Canis lupus familiaris: one gene and its partners. The protein of the gene in region 2 binds, or shares a complex with, the protein of the main gene of each other region. Links are inferred from orthologs where the notes say so. Each region holds a gene or a part of one and is shown on either strand. Other genes may lie near its edges. The genes, in order: CDHR5, CDHR2 and MYO7B.

The links.
Region 1: CDHR2 (region 2) and CDHR5 share a complex: the UniProt entries of both Homo sapiens proteins name them as parts of the IMAC/intermicrovillar adhesion complex. The link is inferred for Canis lupus familiaris from reciprocal best matches to the Homo sapiens genes CDHR2 and CDHR5.
Region 3: CDHR2 (region 2) and MYO7B share a complex: the UniProt entries of both Homo sapiens proteins name them as parts of the IMAC/intermicrovillar adhesion complex. The link is inferred for Canis lupus familiaris from reciprocal best matches to the Homo sapiens genes CDHR2 and MYO7B.

The regions. Positions count from the first base shown.
Region 1 is NC_049239.1:26,062,379-26,066,269, forward strand, and holds the end of CDHR5 (cadherin-related family member 5), read right to left. Parts: intron 3,830-3,891; coding exon 3,739-3,829; intron 3,607-3,738; coding exon 3,509-3,606; intron 3,432-3,508; coding exon 3,231-3,431; intron 3,158-3,230; coding exon 3,044-3,157; intron 2,971-3,043; coding exon 2,883-2,970; intron 2,788-2,882; coding exon 2,461-2,787; intron 1,956-2,460; coding exon 1,789-1,955; intron 1,570-1,788; coding exon 1,150-1,569; 3' UTR 564-1,149; downstream 1-563. UniProt on the Homo sapiens protein: Intermicrovillar adhesion molecule that forms, via its extracellular domain, calcium-dependent heterophilic complexes with CDHR2 on adjacent microvilli. Thereby, controls the packing of microvilli at the apical membrane of epithelial cells.
Region 2 is NC_049225.1:37,644,411-37,648,033, reverse strand, and holds part of CDHR2 (cadherin-related family member 2), read left to right. Parts: intron 1-1,190; coding exon 1,191-1,280; intron 1,281-1,872; coding exon 1,873-1,998; intron 1,999-2,069; coding exon 2,070-2,216; intron 2,217-2,303; coding exon 2,304-2,379; intron 2,380-2,467; coding exon 2,468-2,583; intron 2,584-2,703; coding exon 2,704-2,937; intron 2,938-3,623. UniProt on the Homo sapiens protein: Intermicrovillar adhesion molecule that forms, via its extracellular domain, calcium-dependent heterophilic complexes with CDHR5 on adjacent microvilli. Thereby, controls the packing of microvilli at the apical membrane of epithelial cells.
Region 3 is NC_049240.1:24,407,191-24,411,377, reverse strand, and holds the start of MYO7B (unconventional myosin-VIIb), read left to right. Parts: upstream 1-1,300; 5' UTR 1,301-1,606; coding exon 1,607-1,651; intron 1,652-3,950; coding exon 3,951-3,992; intron 3,993-4,187. UniProt on the Homo sapiens protein: Myosins are actin-based motor molecules with ATPase activity. Their highly divergent tails are presumed to bind to membranous compartments, which would be moved relative to actin filaments.

The DNA of each region.
Region 1 (3,891 bases), on a different chromosome or scaffold from region 2:
TTTTTTTTGATTATTTTTTTAAGACATTTATTTGAAAGACAGCTGCAGACTGGGGGGCGGGGGCAGGCAGAGGGAGAGGGTCCCCTAGAAGACTTCCCGCTGAGTGCGGACCCCACCCCCACCCCGGCTGGATCCTGGGACCCTGACATCACGACCTGAGCAGAAATCCACTGTCCCCAGGGAACCGAAGAACCAGCCAGGCGCCCCCCCCACTCGGTGGCTTTTCGATTTTTTAAGATTTTATTTATTTATTCATAGAGACACAAAGAGAGGCAGAGACACAGGCAGAGGGAGAAGCAGGCTCCATGCGGGGAGCCCGATGTGGGACTCGATCCCGGGTCTCCATGGTCACGCCCTGGGCTGCAGGCGGCGCTAAACCGCTGCGCCACGGGGGCTGCCCAGCTTTTGGATTCTTAATGAGAATTATCCAGACAAGAACATTCACATGTCCCTAAGAATAAGACATTTGTTTTTTTTTTGTTTTTTTTTTTGTTTTTTTTAATATTTTATTTATTATTTATTTATTTAAGTCACAGACAGAGAGAGAGAGAGGCAGACACACAGGCAGAGAGAGAAGCAGGCTCCATGCACCGGGAGCCCGACGTGGGATTCGATCCCGGGTCTCCAGGATCGTGCCCTGGGCCAAAGGCAGGCGCCAAACCGCAGCGCCACCCAGGGATCCCTAGAATAAGACATTTGGAACGGCATTGGGGATGCCTTTTCATCAGGAAAAGCGCGGAGGGCCCACGAGGGTCAGGGAGGTCCCCCCCTGAGGAGGCCCCCAGAGGGGTTCTGTCCCCGCTGCGGCCGCTGCGCCCCGCAGGCCCGGGACCTCGCCCTCCAGAGTAGTGTTCCCGAGGGGGGCCCCTCAGCCCCCAGGCAAAGAAGGGGTGCCCCCGCCGCGCAGGGTGCGGCCGCGGTCACACCGGGAGAGGAACTTGGGCCGCCAGCTGGCTCCAGCCCGGGAAGCCCCGAGGCGGCAGGTGGTTTACGGGAAGCGGGACGCAGAGCTGCGGGGGGCGGGGGGGAGGGGTGGGGGAGGGGACGCATAGGCCACGCCTTCCCCTCCGGCGGCGGCTCTGGGCACCCTGGCGCAGCAGAGCTTGGACACCGTGCCTTTATTTTGCGCGGGGGGCGGGGGGCGCCGGGCTAGACGTAGGTGGAGCCCCCGCCGGGCTCCCCGTCCTCGTCGTCCCCGTCGCCGCTGTGCTCGCTGCCCGAGTCGGGGGCGCGGGCCGCGTCGGGGGCGGGCGCGTTGAGGACCACCACGTCGGCCTCGGCCCCGATGTCCTCCCCGAACCACACGGCCTTGTAGCCGCCCTCGTCGGGCCGCCGCTCCTTGGTCAGGATGGACCTCACGGCGGCGGGGCTGCCTCCATCCCGGGCCGCCTCGGGGGCGCCGGGGGCAGGGCCCGCGGCTGCGGAGCCAGAGGCCTCTTGGGGCGTGGGCTCGGGGGGCTCGGGGGGCCCCGCCCGCGTGGGGCCGGGGGAGGCGCGCGGAGCCGGCGCCCAGTTGGCCTCTTGGGGGTCCGAGAAGGCCTGGTTGTCGAAGGCGAGCGCCTGGTGGTCCTGGCGGGGAGACGGGACGATCAGGGCATCACCCAGGCCCCGGCCCGGCTGGGGCTGGGACTGTCCCCGGAGCCGTCCTGGGGGACAGGGCCGCGGGCTGGTCTTTCCTTTCCTTGCCGTGTCCGCCTCCACACTCCGTGGGCTGGGACGACCGCCCGGCCCCCCCTCCTGCCCTCCCCCGTGGGCCCTCGGTGCTGCCCCCGCCCGCTCAGGCCTCACCAGGGCTTTTCCGGAGCAGCACTTGAGCCGCCTGCCGAACTGCTTGTGGCCCAGGATAACGAGGGCGATCAGAGCCAGGAGCAGCAGCGCGCCCAGCACCCCGCCCAGGGCCGCCATGTCCACCGCAGAGAAGCGCCGGTCCTCAGCTTGGCTCTGGGCCGGTCCTGCTGGCAAGGCCACCGGCTACTGCGGGCACCCGGCACCCCCACCACCCACCCCAGGCTCTGCACCCCCTGACGTGACAGCTGAGGCTCCGGGGAAGGGCACTACTCACCCCCCGACCGAGGAGCTGGCTGCTCCCAGGGGCCGTCGGGGAGGCCGTGCTGCAGGAGGCAGGGCGGGCGGGCGGGCGTCAGTGCCCACCAGCTCCCAGTGGAAGCCAGGGGTCCGGCACCCTGGAAGGCCATGAAGGCAGTGCTGGGGCCGGTACACGGAAGGCCTGGAATCGCGGGGTCCCCCGGACCCCGAATCTGGCTCCTGCCCCATGCTCTGGACACCTTCCCCGGCCTGCCTAGTCAGGGGCACCCGGGGCCTGTGCCTGCCCGGCCCAGAGCAGGCTGTCTCAGGATTTCACGGTCAGCGTGGTCGTGCTGGGCCACCCCAGGCAGACTCTGCCCTACCAGGACCCCCAGGACCACCCCGAGGGCGACTAGGGCAAGCGGGAGGTGCTACCTGAGGGCTGGGGGGTCCTGCTGGGGTCAGGGGCCAGCGGCTGAGAGGTTCCTGGCTCCAGTGTTGGTGTTGAGCCCCCGCTGGGTGAGGCTGATGGGAGGGAGGTGCTGGTTCCCACACTGGGGGGCCCCCCGGGCGTAGATGAGGCTGGTGGCCTCAGAGTTGTGGTTGTGGGGGGATGTGGGCCAGCGCCCCCCCCAGAGCTGGTCGTAGAGGATCCCTGGGAGGGCCCCGGGGGCCTGGGGGCTTCTGAGGCAGTGCTGCTCGAGAGGCTGGTGGTTCCTCCAGCCCCTGGGGGTGTGGGGGTTTCTGGGGGCCCTGATGAACCTGGGGGGCCAGGGACAGGATCCGGGCTTGCCTCTGTCCAGCGCGCCCGCCCCGGGGAGCCCCCGCCCCCCGCCGGGGTGAGCAGCCGGGCTCACCTGTGGGGGCGGGTCCCTGCGGCTCCAGCACCTGTATCTCCAGCACCGAGCGGGCGGTGCCTGCGGTCACGGTGTTCATGGCCTCAACCTGGAGCAGAAGCGGGGCTGGTCCCTCACAGGCCCCGCCGTCGTCCCCCCTTGGGGGTGCCCCCCACCCTTACCTCTGCATAGGAGACCCCCTTTTGGGTCAGCTGGGCGGCGGTCCGCACGATCTCGCCATCCATCCGGAATTTGGTGTTATTGGTGATGCGATACGTGATGGCGGAGTTGAGGTCCTGGACACTGCGCAGTGAGCCCTGGGCCCAGGCTGCCCCCCGACTCCCCCCCCACAGAGGGCCTGGTGCCTACCGGAAAGTCGGGGTCCTGAGCCCAGACCCTCAGAGGCAGGGAGGGGCTGGCTGTGTCTCGGATCTCCACGCCCACTGCAGAGTTGAGCGCCACGGTGCCATAGTAGCGGCTCTGCGGGAACTGGGGCACGCTGCCAGTGGCACTTCGGGCCTCGATCGTGACCCAGGTCACCGAGTAGCGGGCGCCGTCTGACTGCTCACCCTGGGGGTGGGGGAGGCCTCAGCGACAAGCAGGTCCTCAAAGCCCCGGCCCCATGGAGGCCTGGCCAGGGCGCCCACCTTGACCAGCAGCGTGAAGGTCTTTGGGCTGGGAACGCTCCTGGTCATGGTGAGGTTGCCCGAGTTGGCGTCGATGGCAAATGTGCCGTCGTCTTGTCCTGCGAAGATGGGGGGAGGTGAGGCCTCTCGCTCCGTCCAGGGGTCTGAGGTCTGGGGCCCCCGCTGGCTCTGCCCACGGGCAAGTCCCCCCAGGTCCAGGATGCAGAGGCAGGGCTCCAGCGCGCACTCACCTGTCACGATGCTGTAGAGGACACGCTGGTTGACGCCCCGATCCCCGTCCACGGCATAGATGGGCCCGGGACGCAGGACAAGGGGGGCTGGCTGCAGGAGCAGGGACAGGGGAGACACCTGGGGCCGCTGAGCGGGGCCCAGCGCAGCCCCCG
Region 2 (3,623 bases):
AGGGCAGCTCCACTTGAACGGACTGCATGGGGAGGAGGTTCCCTAATGGTCCCTGAGCAGCAAACACAACACCACTCCTTGATCTTCATTACCATGCGGCTTTGAAAATGTATTTGGTGTGGGGCCCCAAATACACTAAATACACACTAGGCCAGACATAAGACTGATGAGGTCCAGTCAGCCATCTGACAGACTCTGATGGAGCTCATGCTGTGTACCAGGCACTGGCTTTGGTGCTGAGACTATCTGGTAAATAAGGCAGATCTGGTCACATTTTAATGAAGAATATAGATAATAATCAATGAAACATTCAATAAGCAGGATTATTTCAGATGCTATTAAGCTCTATGAAGAGTGTAAAACAGGGCAAAGTGAAAGAAAGTGACCAGGAAGGGGGCTGGTTTAGGTTGAGCAACCAGGAAAGGCTTTTCTGAGTAGGTGACATTTGAACAGAGACCTACATGGCAAGAAGGAACCAACCATGGGATGCTCCAGGAGAAGGATGTTCCAGGTAGGGGAACAGCAGATTCAATGGCTCCAAGCTGGGAATGAATTTGGAGTGTTCTAGGCATATAGCCAGGAAGGTGCTGTGAATGGAGGGTGGAAGGTGAGGAGGAGGTGAGGTGAGAGAGGTGGACAGTGGCCTGACATCAGAGGGCCATAGAGGGAGTGAAGATTGTATTCTAGACAAAATAGGGAAACCATTGGAGGGCTTTTAGCACAAGAGTGATGTGGTCTGATTTATGATTTTCAAAGATCACTTTGGCCACTTTGTGGAAATAATGAAGGTGTGCACAGGTCACAGACAGGGCAAAGGCCTCCCCAAAGAACCTTCCAGCTCTGCAGGGTGCTGTCTGGGATGTACTGCTGTAGGCTACAGAGAGCCCACAGGATGTTTGAGCAGGGGAGTGGCACATCCTGGATTCTGGAATGATTGTGCTTCTTTCTCCTGAGGTGCTCTGCAAATCATAAGCCAGCCGAAGTGGTAGGGAGAGGAAAGGGGGGTAATCTGCTCCCTGCCCTCCCTCCCCCCAGTGGTCTCCAGAGGCCCAGCCCAAGTGAGAAGGAAAAGGGAGCATTGAGTGTCAGGCTCTAGGTGTTATTCCTGCAGTATAATCGGGGACATAAACTCAGGGAGGGGAAATGAGTGCTCAGTCGTGGAAGGGATGGATTGGAGTTCCTCATTACAGACCCTGCCAGTTGGCTCCCTGGTGTTCTCTGTGCTGGCCAAGGACCAAGACACGGGGTCTGCAGGAGCAGTGGTGTACTCCATAGAGCAGGTGAGCACAGGCAAGTCCTGTGGGAATACGGGCCCCACTGCTCCTCATAGCCACCAGGGGGCAGCATCTCCCACACAGCCTGCAGGAACCTTGAGTGTTGGGGTGAGCCCTGGCTCCCAAACCTTTTGCTGGCCCCCTCTGGACCTCATTTGATAAAGCCACCTAAGGAGGGTGACTGCCATGGACAGAACCCTTCTTCCCACCTTCTTGCCTTGGGGCACCGACTGGGCTTTTCCTGAGTTCATGTGGCTTCATGGGGTGGCTGGTACACAGAATAGGAAATCGAGAGGTACAGTGTCTTGTCCAAGGTCACACACACAACAGAGTATGTGACCCAGTTCTTCCGAAGGCATGTTAGCTAGCTATAGCTCCCGTCTACTGAGTGCCCACGATGTGCCTAGCATATACCTTACCTCATTGGACCCTCCTCTCAACCCACTGCTGATATGTCTGAGCTCATTTCCCAGAGGTGGAAACTGAGGCTCAGAAAGGTTAGGTGACCTGGTAAGGGTGGCAGGGCTGGTTAAGAGCAGAGCTAGGACTTGAGCCCTGGTCTCTCAGAGGGGAGCCTGCCCTGACTGCTCTGCCTCAGGTCATCCCTAGCAATGGGGAGAGCCAGCACCTCTTCAGGATCTTCCCCAATGGCTCCATCGTCCTCAATGGCAGCCTCAGCTACAACAACAAGAGTGCCTTCTATCAGCTGGAGCTGAGGGCCTGTGTGAGTAGGGGTGCAGACAGAGGGGGGCCAGGACCATGAGGCTCAGCCTTACGGAGACCTATCTCCCACAGGACTCAGGCGGCCTATACAACAACGTCTTCACCATCCAGTGCTCCTCGCCTGTCTTCCTGTCCATCTCTGTAGTCGACCAGCCAGACCTGGACCCTCAGTTTATCAGGGAGTTTTACTCAGCCACTGTGGCCGAAGATACACCCCAGGTGTGCTAGAGGACCTGGACGGGTCTGGGTGGACACAAGAGGCAGGGAAAGGGTCCGGCACATTGAACCACGTGGTTCTCTGCACAGGGAACGTCAGTGCTGAAGGTAGAGGCTGTGGATAGTGACAAAGGCATCAATGACCCAGTGATCTACAGCATTTCCAGTGAGAATTGGGGTGTTCCCAGGTGGAGGAAGGGGTGGGGGCTCTGCTGCAGCCACTGGAAGCAGTAGCTTCTACTGCCTCTCATCAGACTCCACAAGACCCGGCTGGTTTGCCATCAAGTCAGATGGGGTGATCATGGTCAATGGTTCCCTGGACCGTGAGCAGCTGCTGGAAGAGGATGAGGAGGTGAAGGTCCAGGTCATGGTGAGTGAGGGGTCCATTGCCCCTTTTGCACCCCTACCCTCAACTTCTGACCTTTAATCTCCGTTCTCTCTGATCCTTGGTTCTCTGACCTCTGGCCTCTGGTTTCTGCTCTGCCCTAAGGCCACTGAGACGAAACCCAACATCTATGGGCAGGAGGCCAAGGTGAGCATATGGGTCACACTGACAGTGACGGATGTCAATGACCACCAACCTGAGTTTTACAACTGCAGCCTTCTGGCCTGTACCTTCACACCCCAAGAGGCCCAAGTCAACTTCACTGGCTATGTGAATGAGCATGCCTCCACCCGCATCCCCATTGATAACCTCACCATGGTGGTCTACGACCCAGACAAGGTAGGTGCACCCAGAAAAGGGGTGGCTGGGCAAGAGTGATGGTGGGAGATGGCTAGGGAAGATGGTGGGGAGTGACCCATAGAACAAGGTGCTATGGTGGGTGATTGGTGGTGCTGATCATAAACAGTGTTGGAAAATCAGAGTTGTTAGGTGATATTTGCAAATGTTGGGTGATGTTATACTGGTGTGTAGTTTTGTGCTCAGGGCAGTGCTAGGTGGTGGTGAACAGAAAGGCAGCACTGAGTGAAGGTTAATAGTGGATGCTAGGTAATGTTGAGTGGAGTATATAGTTTTCAGTGGTGTTGAGGAGATGGTGGTGATGGGTACTTGGTGAAGTTGCAGGATGTTGGGGTATTGGATATTGGGGAATGTGGCAGTATTGAGCATAGAAGTGGTTGAGTGAGTGCAAAATTGGAGAGTATTCTTAAGTGGAAATTGATATTGAGAGGTGGGTGAGCTGGGTGGCATTGAATAATGAATACCTATGGATGGTGTTTGGTAGTATGTGGTGATATTGGGTTGGTACCAAATGTGGAGTGGAGGATGGTATTGGGTGGTGGTAGGTGGGTGGGTATATTGAGTTGGTGGTTGGCATTGAGTGAAGCAGAAGGGGTGTGGAATGGAGGGTGGTGTGGGTAATGGGGTGATGTTGGGTGTTGCTGGTATTTGGTGCTGGTATGGTGGTG
Region 3 (4,187 bases), on a different chromosome or scaffold from region 2:
AGAGAGAGAGAGAGAGAGAGGCAGAGACACAGGAGGAGGGAGAAGCAGGCTCCATGCCGGGAGCCCGACGTGGGACTCGATCCCGGGACTCCAGGATCACGCCCTGGGCCAAAGGCAGGCACTAAACCGCTGAGCCACCCAGGGATCCCCTCATCCCCCTTTTAAAAGCCTCCTCTTTAAATACAGTCCCATTCTGAGGGACTGGGGGTTAGGACTTCGGCATATGAATGTTGGGGGGGCGGGGTGGGCAATGCACAATTTAGCCCGTAACAGTCAAGATGTTGGCTGGAGCTGTGGACATCTGTGACCTTGACCAGGGTGGGAAAGCTGCTTCCAAGATTATCGGCTGTTGACTGGAGATCCAGTTCCTCCCCACAGGGGCCCCTCCTTAGGGCTGCTGGTCCCCATGACATGGCAGCAAGATTCCCCAAGCCAAGCGATCTTAGAGAGAGGAAGGGGGAAACCACAAAGCCTTTATGAACTAGTGTCAGAGCTATACCTTATTTTATTTGTTAAAAGGAATCACCAAGTCCACACTCAAGGAGGGAAGAATGAGTCTCCGTCTTTTGAAAGGAGAAATGTCAAAAAATGTGTAGACGTAACCACTGCAGTAATTGGTAAAGCAAGAGCCCCAGTGGAGGAGGCCAGAAAGGGCAGAGCTGGAGGGGTTAATGAGAGGCCATCAGTACATCCCTTCCCCTGGGCAGTCCCTTATGTGCTCATATGTAGAAGGAAAGGCAGGGAGTTGGAAGAACTGGAGGTCCAGGGGCATCTCTCTTTTTCCTGTGGTACAAAGTGAGTAATGGGAGGGAGCTTTAAAATAGGGGTTTTTTTGCAGAAAGAGCTGACCATGGCCCTTGGGAGGGTCTCAGGCATTTCTAAAGTCCTAGAAGAGGTACAGGCCATGAAACTGCCCTGGCCTGTCTTTGAGGTGGTGTGACGCATCCCTAGTGTGCTCGGCTCAGGGGTAGGACTTTGCAAGTTGTGAGCAGGAGTCCTACTTCACAAGAGTGCAATAGACCAGAGGGGGGCACATGTCGTGCAGTTTATTGTACTTTATTTTTGTGTTACATTTATGGGTATTTGTAAAACCACTTTGTTCCCAGAAAGATGAAAGGCACTGTCCCAGCTGGCTGGGATAGGAATAAAGCTAGGATGCAGGCTGACAGACCAAAAACAGAGGGGGTGAGGGGTCATAATGAAGCATAATGAAGTTGCTCATGGGGGAGGGCATGATGCTGGGTTAGGGTGTTTCTGGAGGACATGGCTTCTGAGGTGGAGCAGTTCTGGGACATGGGAAGACCAGGGCCAGTGGCAGGGGAGTGAACATCACTGGAGTCTGGGGGCCAGAGGAGTGGGAGTCCAGGATAGGCAGGGGGTAACTGTGAGGCACATCCTGGTGTCTGGAGAAGGTTGATGTGATATACATGACGGTCAGATGCCACGGGTGAGGGGACAGAGGGTGATAGAGACCATGGGTGGGCTTCAAATTTCTCCCTGGAGTAGGGAAGTAAGAAGCCAGAGTGGCAGTGGGGAGCCAGGGGCAGGGCAATGCCCCTCTGCATCCTTCCCACCCATCATCTCACTGGTTATGTGAGGCAGGGAGATGGTCCAGCCTCCCTTGAGAGAACTTCTGGGAGCCAGGATTCAGGTAAGAGTTTCTTTGCACTTTTATACAGACCCTTAAACTTTCCCAGAGCAGAGGAAGTAGGACAAAGTGCATTGATTTTGGAGTTGGGCAGAAGAATCCCATTCTTGTCTGACCAGTTTAATGGTTTTGGCAAAATCTCTATTTATTGGCCTCTGTTGTTCTACCCACAAAATAAGGATAGTAGTTATCTCCTCCTACAGCAGGGTCTGCTATGTGGGAAGTCCTCTCCTGAGGGCAGCTGTTAGTTGTAGGGATGTCAAGGTTTCTACTACCTAAATGAGAATAAACAGATCCCCCAAAGTTTGCCTGGCTGGCTCCATCTTAGCTGAGGTGTCCTGGTGATGGGTGGTCACCTGGGCCTATTTCTCCACAGACAAAGGAGTGGAAATGTGGCCTCAAGTGTCAGCAGCCTGATGCTTGTGCATGATAACCCCTCAGGAGCCTCAGGAGTGCTTCCTGGAGAAGTACTGGAGGCACAAACAAACATTTCATGGGTCCTCCCTGGGTGTCTCTGACCTCACAGAGACCCTGCAAAACTCCAACCATTTCCATTTCAGGAAGGAGCACACTAAATCACTTGCAGGACCTGCTCCAGCTGGCATAGCTGGTGGATGGCAGAGCCACACTCTCCCATTGTACATACCACCTCCCCAGCCCCCTATGGGGGACCACTCCCATGGGTCAGCTCAGGGCAGGGAGGCCCAGGGCCCTGAGCATCTGTGGGAAAGTTGGGCTGCAGTGCCCCCAAGGACGCCTTTCCTAGATTCTCAGCCTCTGTCTATGCCCAAATGTCCCAGCCCAGGGGAACAGGGACAGGACCAGGACAGGAGGTTCCATGCTCCTTTGGAGTTAGAGAGAAAAACATAAGCTTGGACTTTAAAAAGGAATATACAATCTGATTACTGTCTTTTTGCATTGTAGGTGCTCAACAAAAGTGGAAGATTTAGATTGGCATTAAATATATAAATGCTGTACACTAAACACAAATTAGAATAAGAAAATTCTTTGTCCACCAGAACAGTGGCAAATGGCTCTTTGTCATGTTCACCCACTGCCTACACCCCTACTTTTCTCTCATCTCCCCACTCACTCTGCTCAACCCAAACATGCTGACCCCAACATCCTTTGCACTTTTCCCTCTGACTTTGCTAGAGTTGCACCATCCTTGGAGAAGGCCTTCCCTTCCTTCCACTGTGAATTCTTAATCATCTTTTAAAGTCACTGTCGAAGCCTCTCCAGGGATATCATTCAGGGTTTCATTGAACAAGCATTTCCTGGGGGCAGGCCTGTGCTAGATGTGGGGAGCACAGTGATGAACAAAATAGAACCAGCACACCTCTCAATGCTCACTAGGGATGTGGGTGAAGGGCCTGTGCCCCAGGTCAGGACAACAGCAGGCAGGGCCCACCAGTCTCCCTCCTTGGCCTGCTGCAGCTAATGAGGCCTGCCAGAGTGCTCCCAAAACCCCTAGGAGGTAGCCAGGTGCTGGGGGCAGGTTGGAAATGAGGCAGATAAGGATTGGATTCCCAGCTGTGCTGCTACCTAACTGGGTCACCTGCCCTCTGTGGGGTCTCATGTAAGAAGTGGAGAAACACCTGTGTACCTGTGTTTTGGGGTGCTATGAGGCTTACATAAAGTACGTCACATGTCTCTAGCTACACTGGCTGCTTACCTCAGCACTCCCCATGGTGCACACACCATGTGTGGTGGGTGATGACTGGTTTTCACAGATGTCTGAGCAGATAAAATTTGTGCTTCTGGATGACAGGGACTATGTCTTAAGTATGTTCAAAACCACCCATGCTACCTATATCAAGCCCAGTACTGAGTACAAAATAGATGTTCAATAAAGATGAGGTAAGATGGAAGAAGATCCAGAAAGCATCTTCTCACCCTGGGATGGAACTGTGACTTATTTATCCATTTATTCAAGAGTCATATTTCTTGTGGGGCTCCTGGTTAAGTGTCTGCCTTTGGCTGGGGTCATGATCCCAGGAACCTGGGATCAAGCCCCATGTTTGGCTCCCTACTCAGCAGGGAGCTTGCTACTCTCTCTTCCTCTGTCCCTCCTGCCTGCTCGTGCTTGCTCACTCTCTCTCTCTCTCTCTCTCTCTCTCTCTCTCAAATAAACTTATAAGATCTTAAAAAAAAAAAAAAAAGAGTAATTTTTTGAGCCAGGCCCCATGCCAGGTACTCAGGGCCATGTTGATATACACACATGGCCCCTTCTTCCCGGGGCTCCACGCAGCGCCAGAATGTCAGAATGAGCACTAACATTCTGCTTTCTCTCTTCTCATAGGCTGGGAGGACCTGCTGCCTCAGGATGTCAGCCTTCAGGCTGGTAAGAATTGCATCTGTTGCATTAGGGTTTATCTGGGAAGTTACCAAAGGCTAGCTAGGTCAAATCACTCAGGGAGAGGCAACAAGGGCCCACAAGGAAAACATCAGAGACAAGGGAATATGGGGAATAAAACAGATTATATTATATAAAGAAAACAAGTTTGGCCAGTCTCTGGGCCTGGGCAGGCGGCCACAC